Linked DNA regions of Canis lupus familiaris. The protein of the gene in region 2 binds, or shares a complex with, the protein of the main gene of each other region. Links are inferred from orthologs where the notes say so. Each region holds a gene or a part of one and is shown on either strand. Other genes may lie near its edges. The genes, in order: FRAT1, GSK3B and AXIN1.

Evidence for each region.
Region 1: the proteins of GSK3B (region 2) and FRAT1 are in contact, whole or in part, in a crystal structure (PDB 5OY4), measured with the Homo sapiens proteins. The link is inferred for Canis lupus familiaris from reciprocal best matches to the Homo sapiens genes GSK3B and FRAT1. Residues at the interface, in NP_001139628.1 of Homo sapiens: Tyr216, Ile228, Phe229, Ser261, Gly262, Val263, Asp264, Leu266, Val267, Ile270, Lys271, Thr275, Pro276, Ile281, Tyr288, Thr289, Glu290, Phe291, Lys292, Phe293, Pro294, Ile296; in NP_005470.2 of Homo sapiens: His200, Leu202, Leu203, Leu206, Val207, Ser209, Gly210, Asn211, Leu212, Ile213, Lys214, Glu215, Ala216, Val217, Arg219, Leu220, His221.
Region 3: the proteins of GSK3B (region 2) and AXIN1 are in contact, whole or in part, in a crystal structure (PDB 4B7T), measured with the Homo sapiens proteins. The link is inferred for Canis lupus familiaris from reciprocal best matches to the Homo sapiens genes GSK3B and AXIN1. Residues at the interface, in NP_001139628.1 of Homo sapiens: Ile228, Phe229, Val263, Asp264, Leu266, Val267, Ile270, Lys271, Asn287, Tyr288, Phe291, Lys292, Phe293, Pro294, Gln295, Ile296; in NP_003493.1 of Homo sapiens: Glu384, Pro385, Gln386, Phe388, Ala389, Glu391, Leu392, Ile393, Arg395, Leu396, Glu397, Val399, Gln400.

The regions. Positions count from the first base shown.
Region 1 is NC_049249.1:10,818,456-10,821,880, reverse strand, and holds FRAT1 (proto-oncogene FRAT1), read right to left. Parts: upstream 1,967-3,425; 5' UTR 1,924-1,966; coding exon 1,078-1,923; 3' UTR 542-1,077; downstream 1-541. UniProt on the Homo sapiens protein: Positively regulates the Wnt signaling pathway by stabilizing beta-catenin through the association with GSK-3. May play a role in tumor progression and collaborate with PIM1 and MYC in lymphomagenesis.
Region 2 is NC_049254.1:24,302,948-24,307,314, reverse strand, and holds the start of GSK3B (glycogen synthase kinase-3 beta), read left to right. Parts: upstream 1-1,529; 5' UTR 1,530-1,686; coding exon 1,687-1,774; intron 1,775-4,367. UniProt on the Homo sapiens protein: Constitutively active protein kinase that acts as a negative regulator in the hormonal control of glucose homeostasis, Wnt signaling and regulation of transcription factors and microtubules, by phosphorylating and inactivating glycogen synthase (GYS1 or GYS2), EIF2B, CTNNB1/beta-catenin, APC, AXIN1, DPYSL2/CRMP2, JUN, NFATC1/NFATC, MAPT/TAU and MACF1.
Region 3 is NC_049227.1:40,628,530-40,632,125, forward strand, and holds part of AXIN1 (axin-1), read left to right. Parts: intron 1-2; exon of another isoform or gene 3-348; intron 349-3,016; 5' UTR 3,017-3,099; coding exon 3,100-3,596. UniProt on the Homo sapiens protein: Component of the beta-catenin destruction complex required for regulating CTNNB1 levels through phosphorylation and ubiquitination, and modulating Wnt-signaling.

The DNA.
Region 1 (3,425 bases), on a different chromosome or scaffold from region 2:
TTGGAGTGGGACCGCCGAGCCGAGCCGAGCCGAGGCGGGGAGGTGGGGGCGGGGGCGGGGGCGGCCCGACCCAGGCTGAGGCTCGGGGCACTTTCTGAAAGCCCGGGGCGCGGCGGGCCGCGGTGGGCACCGGCCCGGCACGTCCCCCTCGGCCCGCAGCGGCGGCGGCCGCGGGGCGCGCGTCCTTAGGAGACTCCAGCACTTGCACAGCACCGGGCGCTTCTCCCGGGCACAGGCGGAACCCGGCAACTCTTCCGCTCTACGGGAGCCCCGCACCCCCGCGGGCGCTGGGGGAACCCTGACCTTGAACCCGAGGAGGGGGACGCAGGGAAAATCTCCCAGAGAGGAAGACTTCGCCGACTCCCACCTCCCCGCGCCGCGGCACCGCCGCCCCCGCCTCCCCTCGCCGGCGCGCAGCCGCCCCCGCCCCCCGTCGCACAGCGGGGGCAGCGCGAACCTTACTCCCATTCAACTCCCAAAAAAGGTCCTTTGATGGCACCGCGTGTTTTGCGTTAAGAACCAGCACCCACAAGACACAAGATGGGTTTTTTAAAGAGTCGTAAATTTTTCAAGTCTGGCAGTTTGAGGTTCTCCCTGAAATGATGGTCTGACTCATGTTCCCCTCCCCCAAAGTGGATCAGGAACCAGCCCTGAAAAGGTAAAGCCAGTAACTGGGGTCACCCTCGTCCTTTGGGCGCGCGCGATCCAGAGACGCGTGGAACGTGGCCACATGGCCGCTGGGCTGGAGGGTCCCACTGGCTCGGCTGCGTGGATCTGCTCGCTGCACCGCGGGGGCTGGCCACGCCGAACGGGGAGTACCACTGGATGTGAGCTTGGGGTGCGCTCGGTAATCTGCCTCAAACAGGGCACCCAAGTTCTTCTGTTTCTCAAACGCATCGGGGGCCCTCCATTAGTTCCCCGCGAAAACATTCGCGGTTTTTCCATTCCTCGTCTGCATTAGCTTATTTTCCCGCTTCCAAAACGCGAGTTCACCAGTCCGTCCGAGTAGGGATGTAGCCCTCTGGGGGCTCCCCTGCCCTCCAGGCAGAGGCTGGCGCTGTGGCCACTCCCGGGGCGTTAGCTGCCAGGGACAGGAACGCCGTCGCCAGTTCGGGGCTGCGCCCTCCTCCCGGACGCGCCGGAGAAGCTGCAGGCCGCCCGAGGGCTGCGGGGAGACGGGGGCTCATGCACCGGGGCCGACAGCGGCCCGGAGAGCGGGCGCTGGGGAAGCTTTGCGTGTATCTGCAGCCGTCGCGAATGAAGCCTCCGCACCGCCTCCTTGATGAGGTTCCCCGAGAGCACCAGCTGCTGCAGGAGCCGGTGCGGGTCGTCGTCGCCGGTGCGGGATTCGGGCTGGGGCCCGCGTCGCTGCTGGAGGCGGCGGGAGGCGGCGGCGCCCCGCAGCCACCCCCGCCGGCACGGGCCCGACAGCGGCTGCGGGGCGGCCCGCTTGTCCGCTCCCGAGGGCCCGTCAAGGCCGGGCTGAGGGGCCAGCGGCGACAACGCGCTGGGGCCCGCGGCGAGCTCGGCCACGAAGTAGGGCGCAGCCCGACCCCGCACGCGGCCGCGGTCCCCGAGGGCGCAGCGCAGGGCCCCCGGGGGCGCCGGGCCCACCGCCTCGGCCGGCGCGGGCGGCAGAAGCAGCGGCAGCGCGGGGGGCCGGGCCTTGTCCGCCCGCACGGCCGCCGGGGGCCGCGGGGGCTGCGGCGGCGGCCCCGGGGGCGCGCACGGGGAGGCCGGGCTGTCCTGCGCCGCGTCCAGCTGCAGCGTCTCGCCGATCTGGGCCACCAGCAGGTCCACCTCGCCCGAGCCGCCCAGCGTCACCGACTGCTCCAGCAGGAGGAAGCTGTCCTCCTCCTCCTCCTCCGCCTCCCCCTCCGCTTCCTCGCCGGCTTCCTCTTCCTCCTCCCTCCGGCACGGCATGGCCCCCCGCCCGGGCACCCGGCGCTGTGCGGCCGGCGCTGGCGGCTCGGCGGCCGGCGGGGCTCGGAGGGCCGCGGGGCGCGGGGCGCGGGGCGCGGGGCGGGGGCCGACGCGGGGGCGAGGCCGGGGCCGGGGCCGGGCCGGGCCGGGCCGGGGCGGACGCGGAAGCCGGAGCCCGCCAGGCACTCGCGCCGCGCGCCTGCAGCAGCGGGAGCCGGAATCCTACCGGCTCGGGTTGATTTGTAAACAATGGGTGACGTCGCGGCCGGGCCCTACCACCGCGCCGGGCCGGGGGGGCGGGGTACGGCTGGGGGCGGGGCGCCCTCCCGGCCGGGGCGCAGGGTGAAGCCCAGCAGCTTCCGAGCTGCCCCACCCCGAGTGCTGCGTGCAGGGGGGCGCGGGGGTGCGGATCGTCGCTCTGTCAGCCGGGCGTGGTTGGCATTTCCCGAAAATGAACACCCGCGTGGACGCGGTTGGTTTCTTCCACACACCAGCACAGACACTTACACCCACACACTCTCCTCCTCTAGGCGCGTCAACTCGTCTGGTTTTGGCATTTGCACTTTGGAGGTCCGGGTGCCAGCGTCTGGGAAGGGCTGCCCCGGCGAGCGAGGCGCGGGCGGAGATCTGAGGCTAGGGATCGGTCCGGAGATTAGGGAAACAAGGCTGACAGGGACGGAAAGGAAGACCGGGACCTCGTAGTTGGATGGGGTCGGGGCGTGGGGAAGCGGTGGCAGCGTTAGAATTGGCAGGGAAAGGCCCGATGAATGCTTCTTGACCCGGAGCATGGGTATATGCGGGCCTGGACTAGGGCTGGCCTTCCTGGAGAGGAGGAGGTCGTTGGTCTTGGGCGGGGTGTGAGCTGAGCTAGAAAGTTCTTTTAAGAATGCCTCAGCAGCTGGGGAGTGTCTTCTCTGAAGGGGAAGCAGGAGAGGAAAACGAGTTGTTTGGATGGTAATGGAGATATGGATCCGTTTAACTCTTCAAGATATCATGGTTGGCTTAATGATTAACCAAGACTTTTTTTTTTTTTTTTTTTAAAGGAAGAGGGATGGAAAAATGATCCCTTACTGTCTTGTTGCCTGGAGGTATTAGACTTATTCAGAAATCCCAAATCAGTGACGCCTGAGTGGCTCGGTGGTTGAGCGTCTCCCTTCAGCTCAGGGTGTGATCCCGGAGTTCCCAGATGGAGTCCCACATCTTGCTCCCTTCAGGGAGCCTGCTTGCTTCTCCCTCTGCCTATGTCTCTGTGTGTCTCATGAATGAATAAATAAAACCTTCTTTAAAAATCTCCAATCAGACCTCACTTTCAAACTCTACACTTGTAGATGGACTTTTGGTGGCCCAGTCTTTAAGAGCCAACCAGGGGAGATATATTAGCAGGCTAAGAAAAATATTCAAAACCGGATTATGGTGATGATTGAATAACTTAGTAAATTTACTGAAAATTATTGAATGTTCTCTTAAAATGAATGAATTTCATATATAAAATTATATGTCCA
Region 2 (4,367 bases):
CCCTTTTCTTTCTTCTTCTCCCCGCCTCGGCGAGGGAGGAGACGTCCTGACTGGCCAGACTGTCGTCGGAAGCCCCCGTCGCCTCGCCAATCCCCGAAGCAGGTACACTCCCAGCGGAGTTTTCGGCCAATTACGAAGGCGGCCGGGGCGCCCAGCCGCGCCGTTTCACCAGTGACTCCGGGTTTCGCCGTCCTTAACTCCTCCAGCCTTTCGGTGAGGGCCGGCGGCTGTGATTGGCCGCCGCTGCCATTGTCGGATTCCCCCGCTGGCCAGCCGCGGGACGAGCCCCGACCTTCTTCTCGCTCGGCGGTCTTCGGCACTTTCCGCTCTTTGGGCGTGGACTTCCGGCGACACTTTGTAATTGGTTCCTCGGGCCGATCGGCTTTTTCCGGGAGGAGCCGCAGGCAGCCGACGTCCGTGATTGGCTGTGCCTCCGGCCTCGGTTCCGTCGCCGAAGCGGGCGGGCGCGGACCTCGGCCGGCGATTCCCAGACGCCTGTTACGCGGGTGGCGGGGCGCTGGGCGGTGGAAGGCTGGGTGGGGGAGGAAGGAGGCGGAGGACGAGTAGGAGGGGGGAGGGGGAGTGGGGAAGAGCTAGGCGGCTGCGCAGACGGCGCTCCTCACACAGAGCAGCCCCCGACCCGGGCGAATGCAGGCTTGTGCTGCCGCCGCCGCCGCCGCCGCCGCCGCCGCCGTCGCCCGGGCCGAGTGACAAAGGAAGGAAGGAAGGAAGCGAGGAGGAGCCGGCCCCACAGCCGCTGACAGGGCTCCGGGCTGGGGGCAAAGCGCGGACACTTCCTGAGCGGGCACCGAGCAGAGGCGAGGGGCGGGAGGGCGGCCGCGCTGGTGCCGCGGACGGGGGAGGGGGCCCCCGGGGACGGAAGCGGTTGCCGGGTTCCCATGTCCCCGGCGTATGGGGAGCAGTCGAGGATCCGCCGCCTGGGGTCTGAAGGGAGCTGCCTCCGCCGCCGCCGCCGCCATGGCCGCTGGATCCAGCCGCCGCCTGCAGCTGCTCCTGGCGCAATGAGACGAGGAGCCGCCGCCACCGCCCGCCTCTGACTGACTCGCGACTCCGCCGCCCTCCAGCTCGCCGGGCCCCCGCCGCCAGCCCGCCGGATCCCGCCGCCGCCGGAGCCGCAGCGTTTCCCGTCGCATCACCGAGCCACCCCCTCCCTCTCCCTCCCTCCTTCCCATCCCCCCTTCTTTTCAAGCGTGAGACTCGTGATCCTTCCGCCGCTTCCCTTCTTCATTGACTCGGAAAAAAAATCCCCGAGGAAAATATAATATTCAAAGTACTTCTTTTCAATCAAGTATTTGCCCCCGTTTCACGTGATATTTTTTTTAAGACCCCCCCCCCCTTCTTCCTCCCTTCCAAGGAAACGGAGGGGAAAGAATTGTATTTTTTTTCCCCCCAGCCCCAAATCATCTATATGTTAAATATCCAAACTGGTCTGTCTTGAAGGAGAAATACATCACTCGTTTTTTTTTTTTGTTTTTTTTTTTTGTTTTTTTAATTATACAAAAGGAGCGAAAAGCCAAGAGGACGAAGTCTTTTTTTTTTTTTTTTTTAATCTTCTCGTGGGAGAACTTAATGCTGCATTTATCGTTAACCTAACACCCCAACATAAAACAAAAGGAAGAAAAGGAGGAAGGAAGGAAAAGAGGGTGATTCGGGAAGAGAGTGATCATGTCAGGGCGGCCCAGAACCACCTCCTTTGCGGAGAGCTGCAAGCCAGTGCAGCAGCCTTCAGCTTTTGGCAGCATGAAAGTTAGCAGTGAGTATTGATTTTATTTTACGCCCCTTCTCCACCTCACCCTTAAAATAAGAAACCTTTAGTAACCAGGATCTTAAAACATTAGACCTCCTGATACTAATAATCAGAGGTATTGAAAAGGGCAAAAACCTGTCTTAAGTCCAGGGTTAGGCAGCTCCCTCTTTTTCTCCTCCCGCACCACCTCCCACCCCCCCCCCCCCCCCGGTCTCATTAACCTTGAATTGAGAGAATATGCTTTTTATTTGCACGATTTGATTTGGAACTTGTTTCTTACACTTTTTGTGCGGTTAGTCGTCCGCCTTATCAAGTGTGCTTGACTGTTTCTATGTTAAAACGGCGATGAAAGTAAATAGTTGCTCATCCCTTCGGAAAAAAAAGGGGGGGGGGAAGGACAAGACGATTCAAATTATTATGTACATTTGCCGAGTACGTGTCTTTTAGAAGGAGGGTTATTTCAGCTCAGGCCTCGGGGATTATCGTAGTTTCGTGTACTTGCTAGAAGGACTGTAAGTGTCACAGTCTCCTAACATTTGTTTGTTGCCTGTGTGACTACAAAGTATTTGTTCTTAATCCGGAGATGAACTTGCTCAGTAACTCGTATTCACGTTTGGAGGAGAGCCTCGAGTTCTCCCTTTAGAAAGGGGTCGGTGGGAGCTGATAGAGACCCAGTAGCAGTTGTATTGCTACAGGCATTGTTTTAATTGGATACACGATTTAATGTTATCTCTTAACCTCCTCGTTTTGACATTACCAATTTACCACTATATAATTTATGTTTAATCAAAAGGTAACTTGGAAGTAGGGCCAAGTTTTGATTGAGGTTTGTCTTGTCAGGTTGCCAAATACTAAGTTGAATGTTAATTGTCACTGACTCATCATTAAGTTCAGTTTTGGGGTGCCATTTGCATTCAGCACTTGTTCAATGATCTGGAGTTCAAGGGCCCCCTTCTAAGGACTATTTACCATAGTATTTAAAATACTCTTGCATTGGTTTCCTGCCGCAGTTAGAGAAAACTATGGATTTAGTTATAACAATCTGGATTTAGACCTTTCTGTCACAGGTTTTGCAGAAAGCTGTAGTCCGGGACATAATAAGGTATTTGAGCTTGTGTTCAGGGTTGTTGCTAGACTGTACTTTGTCCCAGATTTGTGCTAATAGTCTGTGTTCTTGAGGTGTTTGGTATACTAAGTATCTAGTGTTCCAAAGTATCTCTATTTGTAGATATGTTTATGTGGTATTTAGCGACAGCTTATTTAAACCGCACTTCCAGAATTTGACAAAAATATCTACATTGTTTCCTTATTCCTCTAGAAGGGGGCACAGTGAGGGCAAAGAAACTATTTTGCTGCCTAGGATAAGGAAAGAACTGAGATTTTTAAAAAAAATATGTAAATACTGTTATGTGAAATTGATTATATCCTTAAGCAATATAAACTTATCACTTTTAATTGAGCTCAGGATTTCAATTCATGTTGCCTTTTGGACATGCCTGAAACAGGGTGGTCTAAGGTAGTAGCTGAATAGCAGGTCATTTTTTAAAGTTACTTATTTTTGTGATTAGTACAGAATGCAGGATATGTGAAGAAAGGGGCTGATGATGCATTTTTCAGAGAAGAGTCAAGCTTTCTAAGCACTTCATGGGGTCATTTGAAAGGAATATTTTAAAATTCTGGGGTAATTTTCAGCTATGATGAGGCAAATCTTATAATAGCTACTTAAGAGCCTCTTGTGGTACTGGAGTGTTTGTATGTTTTTCATCTTGGTAATATAGTTTAAAAACCACTTGAAATCAATTTTAGGTAATTATTTTATTAGATCAATTTCAGAGAGCAAAACAGAATGGCTTATAATGTTAATTTTTGGACTTTTCATTTTGTTTCCAAGATTTCCTTTGAAAATGACTCCTTAATTCTTGGTAATGTGGATGTTGACTGAGGATGGAGTAACTCTTGTAAAGTGCATAGGTTAAAGGTGTTTAATTTTCTATTCTCATATGGGTCAACATTTAAAAATTGGAGTTCAATGCTAATTCTGTGTTTTTGACAATCTTAACTGTAAGGATTTTTTTTTTTTTTGGTAAGGACATTTTAGAAGAAAGAAGTATCCTTAAACATTTGTTACAGTGCTACTGTTTTATAAAGGACCCTTGTTCAAAACAGAGATATGTAGAGAAATTAATGGCCCCAATGGCTTATCATTTAGTCGTAGAAGCAGTATGGTACAAAATATGAAAACAATAGCATGATGACTGCAAGATTATAAATACAAATAGAATGCTTTGTTCAGAGGGATGAAGAATACAGGGGTGAGGCCTTCGGGTTGGAGAGGAAAGAAAGACTTGCTGCTGCGATGTGTTTTAAGACAGGTGTTAAAGGAGGCAATCACTTGAATTCATAGAGAAGCATAAAGGATTCTAGATGGAAGGAATGGACAGAGGCACGGAGATGGTGATTTTTCTATGGCAAGTAGATAATTTTTGTACTTACCAAGCAAATTGGTAAATTTGAATTAAAGGGGCCTAAATAGGAAAATAAGAGATAGGATATGGGAAATGTGTTAACCATAGCTGATGGAGAGCAGAGGGGGCCTCTA
Region 3 (3,596 bases), on a different chromosome or scaffold from region 2:
GGGGAAACTTTCTGCTTAGCGCTGAGGACAGAGGGGGAGCCCCAGTTCCCGGAGGGCCTCCCCGCGCAGGTCTGGGGTGGTTTATGAGGAGCCCCTGCCGCGCATCCCTGCCCCTCCGTTTTGCCCCCGTGCTCACCCTGCTTCTGCACGGAAGCTCTCCGGACACTTGCTTCGAGGCCCTTCTTTGGAGAACACACATGGTCTGAACCTGGACTCGGGTGCTAGCCCTGAGTTTCAGTTTTGAGAACCTGACATTCAGGCAGGAGAATGGACAGGCGCGCAGAGAACGGCGTTGCTGTGGGATTTTCAGGAGGTGTGGACGCTTCTTGAGTTTCTAGAGTCAGAAAAGTAAGTGGAGTCCTTTGGGCTACATTGGTCCTTGAAAATTTAGGAGGTGGAGGAGCAGATCACCTTGTGGAACAGCGGCCCTAAGCTTTTCAGGGTTTAGGTACCGGACAGGACAGCGTCGCAGTCATGCTCTATTGCTTCCAGGCTCCTATAAATCAAAAGTTATGAAGTTAGGTTTTAGTGGGATGAACATGTGTCTATACGTGTAGCATGGAGCTGGCTGCTGTGGCTCCACGGGGGTATGGCTCAGCAGTGACTACAGGAGATTTTAAATGCCCTATCAGCCTTGTAGAGCATTCGTCGGAGCCGTGGAGGACTTTTATGGAATCCTTTTATTGATGGTGGTTCCAGGCTGTTGGCCAGATTCAAGGCTTGTGGGCATTTGCCTCTGACCTGAATTAACGTAACTGCTTTATGTGTGGTATGCACGTGCGTACACCAAAACGCTGGGTGTGCTTCTGCTGTGGGAACCTAGGGACGGCGGGAATCAGAGCGTGTTTCCATAATGTCAGTAACTTGGAGAGGTGTCTTTGTGCTTCTGGGGCCACCGAGGATCGTCTGTCAGTTGACAGCCGAAAACAGATGTGAGTTATAAGAGCTATTTCTCGCGGGCAATGAAAAATAGTTTAAAATGATCAGGGCGGTGTGGGGGGGAGCCTTGTTCACACGTGAATTAAAATGTTAGCTTTTAAAGATAGCCAGCTTTGTGAATAAAGGGGTAGATGTTGAGTTTTGTTGCTGTTTTTGTCCTGCTGTAGTTCAGCATCTATGGAGGGCTAACGTTTGGCATCTATGACAATTGTCGTATGTGTTCGTGCCAGTGAATAAGTGTGCTAGGTGTTGTGGGTCCTGCAGAAAACGTTTAATCAGGCTGCTACCAGTAACTTACACGGGAGATAGTTGCGTCTCCAGAGCAGGCGACGGTGACTTGTAATTAAGCTCCCGTTGAATTGCAGTGACTCGGTTCTTTCTCAGGACTGGCGAACTGGAATGTGTCTGAGGGTAGGGCTCAGGGCGCTGGGCGCGGGCCCTCCTTCCTAAGAAGGCGTCCTGAACAGGACGACATCAGGTGTCCATGAGCCAGTGTGGAGCTGAGACACCACAGGTGCCCATTCACGTTGACAGGGCTCAAAGAGAGGGACTTTGCCGTCGTCGGAGTCGTCCGTGACAGCGGGGTGCCCGGCCCGTGGGCCTTGACCTTAAGAAGCAGGCTGTTCCTGCTGAGATTACATACTGCCCGGTAGTTTTCACGAGAAGTCATTAGCTGTAGAAATGTCACCTGGGGCACGTTATTGTGACCCGTTCTCTGTCTCTGGGGGCTTTTCGCTTCTAGCCATCAGCATCTGCTGGCACACGCAGTGCGTGCAGTGTGAGGATGCAGCTGTGGGGGCGGATCGCCTGGTGGCCAGGGGTGGGGAGCGGTGGGCGGGGAGGGCTGCCCTTGGTGTTGGTACTAGATTTAAGGTGTTTATTTTTCTTCCTCTGGCTTATTCAGTGCTCTGGGTGCTTGGAGCTGACACGCTTCTCTCCAGCCCATTTCTAGCCAGACCACCTTGAGGAGTGCGGGCCGCCAGGTGGGGCGGTACAGCCCAGCTCGTGGGCAAGCTCCTGTGGGGCATGTCAGGGAGGACCGGAGACCGTGAAAGAGTCCCGACCCGGGAGAGCCTTCCTTCACACCTGAGGGGGGCTTGTCGCAGCAGCCACGCAACCTGTAGTCCCCAACCCCCGAGAGGATGTGTAGTTGGGATTTGAGCTTATGGAGGTGAATCACGCGAGCTGTGTGCTCGCTTAGTTAAAAGCTGTGATTGCATTTGGACTTCATTTTCTTTTTCCGGGTCTCCTCCGTTCTTCAGAATACTAAATTGCTATTTGCTATCAGGAGGGCGCTTTCCTTATAGGCGAGGTCAGAGGCAGCTTTGTGGTGGAAGCATGTTTTAATATTGTCCACACTGTGATGTGGGATGGCCACCATGTGTGTGGGGAGTCCTTGGGTGACCCACCACTGTTCGTACAGGTGTGTGTTGAGAGCTCAAGGAACACGTCCTTGCGTGTTTGCACACGTTAGGAAGCATATGAGGCGTGCAGCGACGGGGTAGGCAGAAAGCACAGTGGCCGTGGGCCCACAGGTGTGGGGAGCAGATGACTATCTGCCGTGTGCTGTGCGGCGAGCCTGCCTTTCCGTACCTGAGTATCACGGTGATCCCGCATCGCAGGTAGGGCGGTCATCCTCATCTTACGTGTGAGGAACCGGCTCTCGTCCCAGTTTTTGCAGCCCGGAACACTAGAAAGCACATCTCTTTTCTCCGGGCCTGTTGGCTTCCCAGAGCTTGCAGGGAAGGGCTTGTTGTGGCTGAGATGGGAGGTCCCCAGGCTGCTTGTGTCCGTGATGTTCTGGCAGAAAGACACCTGAGGGGAGTGGCACTCTGTGTCCCTGTTCTAGGCGTTCATTTTTGAGATCCAGAGACGTACCTGTGGTTGTAAAAGTTCTCACAAATTGTTTTAATATAGCATAAACCTTGTGACGAAAGACTGAAAATTTAAACTGAATTTCTGGCTTTGAGTTCGAGTGGGAGGGCATCATTACGAGTCTTGTCTTGAGAAAACCTCTGTGGTCATGTTTCCATGGACCCACCTTTCCTAATCCTTGTCCTCTTAATGGTTTCAACAGGACAGATTGATTCACTTTGGAGCTATAAGTACTGATGTATTAGGGTGCAGCGCTCATTGTTCATTGACGCACAGAGTCCCAAAATGAATATCCAAGAGCAGGGTTTCCCTTTGGACCTCGGAGCAAGTTTCACCGAAGATGCCCCACGCCCCCCAGTGCCTGGTGAGGAGGGTGAACTGGTGTCCACAGACCCCAGGCCCGTCAGCCACAGCTTCTGCTCCGGGAAAGGTGCCGGGGTCAAAGGTGAGACTTCAGCAGCCACTCCGAGGCGCTCCGACCTGGACCTGGGGTACGAGCCTGAGGGCAGCGCCTCCCCCACCCCGCCATACTTGAAGTGGGCCGAGTCGCTGCACTCCCTGCTGGACGATCAGGATGGGATAAACCTGTTTAGGACTTTCCTGAAGCAGGAGGACTGTGCTGACCTGCTGGACTTCTGGTTTGCCTGCAGCGGCTTCAGGAAGCTGGAGCCCTGTGACTCGAACGAGGAGAAGAGGCTGAAGCTGGCCAAGGCCATCTACCGCAAGTACATCCTCGATAACAACGGCATCGTGTCCCGCCAGACCAAGCCGGCCACCAAGAG